Linked DNA regions of Rattus norvegicus. The protein of the gene in region 1 purifies or fractionates together with the protein of each later gene. This does not show direct contact. Links are inferred from orthologs where the notes say so. Each region holds a gene or a part of one and is shown on either strand. Other genes may lie near its edges.

The links.
Region 2: the proteins of En1 (region 1) and Tle1 purify together in Homo sapiens (affinity purification with western blotting; 4 studies listed by BioGRID and IntAct, with this or other methods). This does not show direct contact. The link is inferred for Rattus norvegicus from reciprocal best matches to the Homo sapiens genes EN1 and TLE1.

Annotation. Positions count from the first base shown.
Region 1 is NC_086031.1:34,302,197-34,306,110, forward strand, and holds the start of En1 (homeobox protein engrailed-1), read left to right. Parts: upstream 1-1,487; 5' UTR 1,488-2,140; coding exon 2,141-3,053; intron 3,054-3,914. UniProt on the Homo sapiens protein: Required for proper formation of the apical ectodermal ridge and correct dorsal-ventral patterning in the limb.
Region 2 is NC_086023.1:90,900,671-90,904,484, reverse strand, and holds part of Tle1 (transducin-like enhancer protein 1), read left to right. Parts: intron 1-1,947; coding exon 1,948-2,095; intron 2,096-3,814. UniProt on the Homo sapiens protein: Transcriptional corepressor that binds to a number of transcription factors. Inhibits NF-kappa-B-regulated gene expression. Inhibits the transcriptional activation mediated by FOXA2, and by CTNNB1 and TCF family members in Wnt signaling.

The DNA.
Region 1 (3,914 bases):
TTTTTTTTTAAACTAGGGGTAGAGAGTGTAACTTTTATGTGCCAAAGAGGTAGTCAGAAACTATAACATTTGGGGATGGCGATCAAGGAAGCGTGGGACTGCCAGGATCTCCAACAGAACATTGGGTGGGAAAGGCTTCCTTTGCAGAGGGCTTTCTTGGACTGAAGGCTTCTACAATCTATTCGTACCTGACCCTCTCTAAAACAGCTCTCCAGGAAATCACTCCAGCTCCCAGAACCACCCTTCCCTCCCTAACCTTGGTAATGAAAAACTTTTGAGGTACTCCATTCGGGGAAAAGAGGAAATGCCCATAATATAGCAGCGTGGGAGCGACTGGAGGCGAGAATCCTCAGGGTTCCACCCCAAGGCACCCGGGAGTGGGCAGCAATACCAGCGAGTTCAGCTTAGAATTAGGGCAACCCGTTGTCCAGCCTTCAGCCAGCCAAGGCAAATATTTGAAGCGCAGTAGTTTTATTGGTTTAATTTCTACTTTGCAGGGAAATCTAACACAGAGGTTTCCCTGAAGTTGAAACCCAAACCTAGGCCTTGAAAGGTGGCACATCATGTCGCCTGGTTTAGGCTCGCTTTTGAGACAACTCTACCAGGTTAGAACAACCCGGATTCCCCTTAGCCAGGCCGGCACTAGAGCTCTGGACATGGCTTCACAGACCCCCATCTCGGCAGCTTGGGGTGTTGGTGATCCAGAGAGGGAAGGGCATGTTTGCGGATCTCAAACGACAGTGTGGCTAGCCATTGACATAAACCAACAGTGCCATCAAGGTGTAGCAGGCCTCTTGGGTTTGCCATTAGTAGGAAAAAAACTACATCTCTGAAAGTAGCCAGACATAACCTAAGTCTTTCACTCATGCCGGATCTCTTTGGTTTCATTCATTTACACACACACACACACACACACACACACACACACACACACACACACACTCGAACAGAGAGGAGAGACAGAGACAGAGACAGAGACAGACAGAGACAGAGACAGAGACAGAGGGGAGGGAGGGAGAGAGGGAGAGAATATAAGAATATAAGCTAAATGTCTTTGGCGCGCGGGGGGTGGGGGTGGGGTGGGGTATGGTATCCCAAATCCCTGCCGCCTGTCGCTGTCCCCAGCGCGCACGAACCCATAATCCTGTATTTCTCCAACAAGTTGTGGACTTGCTTCTCTTATCTGTCTACATCCCAAATTCTAGCTTTTTCGGATCTCTTCGTGCCCTCTTCAGTCCGGATCTGAAGGAGGGGGAGGGGCGTGGGCACAGATGGGGGCAGGGCAGGCCGGACGTACGGGGCCTGAGCCTCTGCACCCCCTCTCCACCCACGGCCGCCGCCCCCGGATTATTTATCCGCAAAGTCCCGCGCGCGCCCATTGGGCCGAGCCCTGAGTGTCAGCGCGAGTCCCGGCTCGCCATTGGTCCTACACACGTGCGGCCCTGACTCACGTGCTTCCGGTTTGAAGGCAAAAAGTGTGCCTGGGTGATTTTTTTTTTTTTTTTAAGCGAGAGAGTTTGTGCAAAGATCCGAGCTGTCAGAGATTTCAGGGGGGAAAACGGAGCCCGGCACTGGCGGAGACGCGCTCTCCCTGCAAAAAAGCAAAGGCGATTAAAGGCGCTGCCAGCCTCGCGCTCTGGGCACAGCTGAGCGTGACACTGGGGAAGTCAAACCCCTCTTTACAGCCTAGGAAGATGGCTAGACTTTAAAGACTATTTTTTCCCTTTAAGGAAAAAATCTCGGAGCTTAAAAAAATCATTTTTTTCTTTTCTTTTTTTCCTCCTTTTATTTTTTTAAGCCGAGGCTTACTCCCCCATTAAGACCAATCACTGAAATCTGGTTGCTGAAAGAAAAAAAGAAAAAGAAAAGGAAAAAATAGCCAAGTGTCTTCACTGTATCTGGATGTCTACAAATTAGAGAGAGGGAGAGAGCGAGATTTGCTCCACCAGAGCGGGCGAGAGCCAGGCCAGACGCTCGGCTTTCTTTTTTCCTTCTGTACCCGCCCTGTGCCTTCGCTGAGGCTTCGCCTTGCCTCCTTCCTCTCCGCGCACCCCCACGGGCCCGCTGGCAAAGTGGGGTGGGGAGCGAGGCGCGGGGGGCGGGGGCCGGCGCCGCGGCCAGGGCTGCCGGGCGGCCGAGCATGGAAGAACAGCAGCCGGAGCCTAAAAGTCAGCGCGACTCGGGCCTCGGCGCGGTGGCAGCGGCGGCGGCGGTGGTGGCGGCGGCGGCCCCGGGCGGCCTCAGCCTGAGTCTCAGCCCAGGAGCCAGCGGCAGCAGCGGCAGCGATGGAGACAGCGTGCCGGTGTCCCCGCAGCCAGCGCCCCCGTCGCCTCCTGCGGCACCCTGCCTGCCGCCCCTGGCCCATCACCCGCACCTCCCCCCGCATCCCCCGCCCCCGCCGCCACCGCCGCCGCCGCCGCCGCCACCGCAGCATCTCGCGGCGCCTGCTCACCAGCCGCAGCCCGCGGCCCAGCTGCACCGCACCACCAACTTTTTCATCGATAACATTCTAAGGCCCGATTTTGGTTGCAAAAAGGAACAGCCCCTGCCGCAGCTCCTAGTGGCTTCGGCTGCAGCCGGAGGAGGTGCAGCAGGAGGTGGAAGCCGCGTGGAGCGTGACCGAAGCCAGACTGGTGCAGGTAGAGACCCTGTCCACTCTCTGGGCACACGAGCTTCGGGCGCTGCCTCGCTCTTGTGTGCTCCAGATGCGAACTGTGGCCCACCCGACGGCTCCCAGCCCGCCACCGCCGTCGGCGCGGGCGCATCCAAAGCGGGGAACCCGGCTGCTGCGGCGGCTGCAGCCGCGGCAGCGGCTGCAGCGGCAGTGGCAGCGGCGGCGGCCGCAGCATCGAAGCCCTCGGACAGTGGCGGTGGCAGTGGAGGCAGCGCAGGAAGTCCTGGGGCGCAGGGTGCCAAGTTCCCGGAACACAACCCCGCGATCCTACTCATGGGTTCGGCTAACGGTGGGCCGGTAGTCAAGACTGACTCGCAGCAACCCCTAGTCTGGCCCGCCTGGGTCTACTGCACACGCTACTCGGACCGTCCATCCTCTGGTGAGTACAGGGGCCCGGATGTACACACGCGTTCAGGCCCTGGCCATGTCCTAGAATTTCCAAACCCCCCCGCTCTGGGGAGAGCAAGCCAGGTTTGAAGCTCTATCAACTTCATGTTTGACTTCTCTTGCCGCGGGTCCCAGTCACAACCCAAAGTGTGCTCGATTCTGCAATGCTGGCCTTTGCCACCAAGGAAGTCACAGCTATTGGCACGCACAGAAGGCTCTAGTTTCTGTCCTTTGATTTTACGAACTCTGAGCCCTGGGGTCATTTTTATATTTTATTTTATTATCTAGAAGAAAGATATATAATTACTATTGAAATATTGAGTAGGGAAAGGGCGCTTTGAGCTGGCGGGAAGATAGGCCTAGTGGCTTGGATCTGCATCTATCGTCTTAGTCCTGCCAGCACTGGATTTAGCCAGGGAAATGAATCAGAGAAATATTCTTTGCTGCGTGTTTTAAACAAACACTGTGGATATTATTCTATGGAGAGTCCATTTTCATAAAGACAGATATGGGGGGAGACAGAAAAAAGAAAAGCGCCATCCCTTGCGCCCCGCCCGGGTATGGGGAGTCAACCCGCGTGGGTAGAATGTAGAGAAAGGCTAGAAAGGTGAGCAGCCACTGCTCGCTGGAGCTGGCAGGCCTTAGGAGAGCAAAGCAAGCAGGCCAGGGGTAGGTTCGAAAGCTGGACCCTAGGCAAGGGAATCAGCCAGCATGTGCCCAGCAGCAGGGCTCTCCTGTCTCTTCGGCCTTGATTTCTTTCTTTCACTCTCTCCTTCGCAAATGTGCCCGTTAGTAGCTATCTGTCTATCTTAGGTCAATTCTCTGCTTTCTTTTCTGCTGCTGTAGCACCTAC
Region 2 (3,814 bases), on another chromosome or scaffold:
ACAAGACAACAAAAGAACATTAAAAATAAGCTTCCATTGCATTGAAACCACAAAATAACTTTAAAATATCTGTATTTCTCCATAACTAACTAAGAGGATCATTCCACCTGGGAGCACACAGGCCTCTGATCGGCTTCTAGATCCTCTCTCTTCCCTCAGCCACTCCTCTTGTTCCATTTAATGCTCATACCAGAGTCATTCCAGAAACTGTTTTTAAGAGTAAGCACTTAAGTCAAATGTAGTGTTGGGTGAAAACCTGTAACTTAGTCTTTGGGAAATAGAAACAGAGATTTTAAGTCAAGACTGTCTGTATCTCTATCCTCTACTTTATAGATGAGAGCCAGGCACAGAAGTAACTTTGCTCTGGTCCTGTAGACAGACCTGGCATTCTGTTGCATGCTGGCTCCCTGGAGTAAGCAATAGTCATGTGTGTATGTGTGTGGGCGGGGGGTTGGGGGTGGTGCCTTGTATGTGGTTTAGCTTGGACTGGCCATGCGTGGCCAGTGTCTCCTCTGTGTGACAATCCTGTATTTCCTATGACACAGCATATTCTCAGAAGTCAACAACTTGACAGTCACATGAGGATGTACATGAAGGGGGAGGCTAGAGGAACTCCTCCACCATTGCTGATGGTACACAAGGAAAGATGTTTGGGATGAAGGATTAATAATTCTTTGAGTTGAAAAGGTTATAAGAAGTCAGGATGAAAGAAAAAAGTCGTGACAATTGTTTGAAGAAACAAAAGGAAGAAAGGTACCACAAAGATCCCTTCATTCCAGGGTGATCATGGAGAGGCCAACTAGTACTGTTGAGTACTTGCTAGTCAATAGCAGGGAATAAGGTATGTGAAAGGAGAGGACGAGTAGGGACAGGGATTGACGTAGGGATCATGCTTGTGAAAGACTCCTGGTTCATATCTTGGCTAAGAATTCAGGGTGATTTTTCTTTCTCTTGTACTTTTAAATTCTAAGCTTGGCACTCTGTGGTAATAAGGTATGATGGGGCCTAGAGAAAGAAAGGACCTTTTTGGCATTGAAATTCCTAACCAGTTCTATTCTGGGTCTTTCCTGTTTCTGAAGGTGGGTCCTGACCTCTCTGATCTGCCCTAGCCAAAGCATGCTCAGCATGTAGAGTCAGGTTTATAAATGTCACTGCATACCCCATCTGCCAAGCCCAGACCCCACCTTGGTCATATTCTTTCCACTGCCCATCTGACTTGTTGCCTCGTGCCCTTCCAGGGGTCAGAAATCCCTGCTACCTACTGATTTTGGATTCTCTTTGAAAGTTGTGTGAAGGTCACCTGTAAAGAAAGCCTTATACCAGGGATGGGGTCTGGCCAGTGTCTGACCTCCTCAGTACTTTTCTTTGTCTCTACCTAACACCTCTGAGGTCAAGAGGCTACTTGACTTGGTCTCTGGGAGTCCACATTTTCTAAAGCAAGGCCCTTTATGATTCAGAAGGGCTGAGTACACAAAGTTCATGCTGTGCTAGCAGGAAGGGCTCTACTGGTAGATTATCTTCTAAATGAATGTGTTCTTGGAAGAAGCCTTTTCCTTTCTGTGGGTTCAAGTCTTGGCCACTGAAGGACTGTTCTTTATCTTTCCTTAAGGAAATTGGTTTTTGTGTGTTTATCTTTATTGTCTCTTAGTACTTAAACTCTTTTCCAGACCAGGGAAGAATTTCACTGGGTCTGTTTATCAGAGACCATAGGATACCTGGCTTCTGGCAGCATCCTGCAAGCCATTCCATTTCTTTAGGCTGTGAATGTTGAAAAAAGAAACAGAACCTGCAGGGGCTGTTTCCTGTGCTCCTCAGGGGAAGGTTACTTTGATACTGCACACCAACAGACACTGAGATGACACACAGTGAGTCCAAAACTAACAACACAACAGTGTTTACCTTGAGCTCTGGCAGGAAATCATTATTCAGTCTGGTTTGTTTTATCAGGCAATTCCAGGGCCACACAGACGGAGCCAGCTGTATTGACATTTCTAATGATGGCACCAAGCTCTGGACAGGCGGTTTAGACAACACTGTGAGGTCCTGGGACCTGAGAGAAGGAAGGCAGCTGCAGCAGCATGATTTCACTTCACAGGTGAGTGCTTGGCTCTGGCCTGCTGTGGAGTCCAAAGGGTTCCCACCTCAGCATCAGGGTAGCATGATAAGCAGATGAGTTTAAAACCACAGATATACAATACTTTCTCTCTCTCTCTCTCTCTCTCTCTCTCTCTCTCTCTCTCTCTCTCTTTCCCCCACCCTCTCTCTCTCTCTCTCTCTCTCTCACACACACACACACATACACACACACACACACACACACACACACACACACACACACACACACACACACACTCACTATGCCCCCTTTAAAAGGGGAGGAATGATTACAAAAATCCTGCAAGTCAAACCATGTTAAGATGCTTTATGTACACGTGGTTTTGGTGAAAGGTGCAGTAGAGAATAGACAGGTTTTCTTCAGCAGGATACACAGTCTGCTGAGTGTATTATCACCATCAAATGCAGAACGAGATTGAAGTGAATGTTAATTTTTTTCAAGGAGTTTGAACTTGTGGATGCCCATCTCCTTTCTTAACCTTATAAAACAACCATGGCGAAGCCCCACCACTGAGGGGCAAGTGCACACTTGGTTCCATTCCTAACCAAGAAGGTATTTGCAATTGATACCTACTGGTAATGGAAAATTCGTTTTCTCCTATGGAGGGTCATTATATACATCTGCTACACTCTGGGCAGGCCCCATGCCTCAAAGTAATTGACCAACACGAACTCCATGGGCTTTGGGAAGAAGGGGGCTTTTTTATGTTCTTTGGTTTGGTTTGGGGTTTTTTTGACTTACTGATGTTTTGCTTGTTTGTGTGTTTGAGAGGGGAGGGAGGGAGCAAGAGAGAATATAGAGGTCGTTGGATGAGAAGGTGAGGAAGATCTTTGAGAATGGGGGAAGGGAAGATGATTAAAATATATGAAGATTTTTTCAATAGAAAAAGATATATCACTTGCTTGCTCACTGTGTTTTTTGTTTTCAGGTAAAAAAATTAAAAAATTGGGTAAAAGTGGAAAACTATATATATTGTTTTAATTCTATTCCGTTCCTCTGATAAAATATCATGACCAGAAAGCAGCTTAGAAGAAAACAATTTATTTAATTAATTATTCCAGGTCACAGTCCATTGTTGTCAAAAAGTCACAGTGGCAGGAGCTTAAAACAGGTCACATTGCATCCATAGTTAAGGGGCAGAGAGGACAGGAGTACTGCATACATGTTAGTATATTATCTGTGTTCTTCTCATTCAGTCCAAGGCTCAGCCTGTGAAGGGGTGATGTACATGGTGGGTCCTCCACCTCAAATAACCCAACTAACAAAATTTTTCACAGTCACGCCTACAAGCTAACCAAATCCAGGTAATTCTTTGTTGAAATTCTTCCCAGACAACTCTAGGTTGTGTCAACTGTCATATCTACTCATTTTAGGTGACTGTTGATTTTAGCTTTACAGTCATTCCTGTTCTACACTTCTGTAGGATATGCAGCATACTATTTTAAGAAAATATCAAATGTCTATAAAGGTCAAACATTGCAAGCTTATATCAAATACAGACAATTATATTACCTATCCTAAGCAGGTATCAGTGCCTGGTCAGTTTTGTTATACCATCCTTACTCCAAACATTGGATTACAGATCCTAGACATTTTATTTCTCCCATAAGCATATTTCAGTTAGTATCTCTTAATGATGACTTCCAATGCTATTCTTAAAGATAATTTCTTATTTCACAGCATGGATGGAACTTTTAG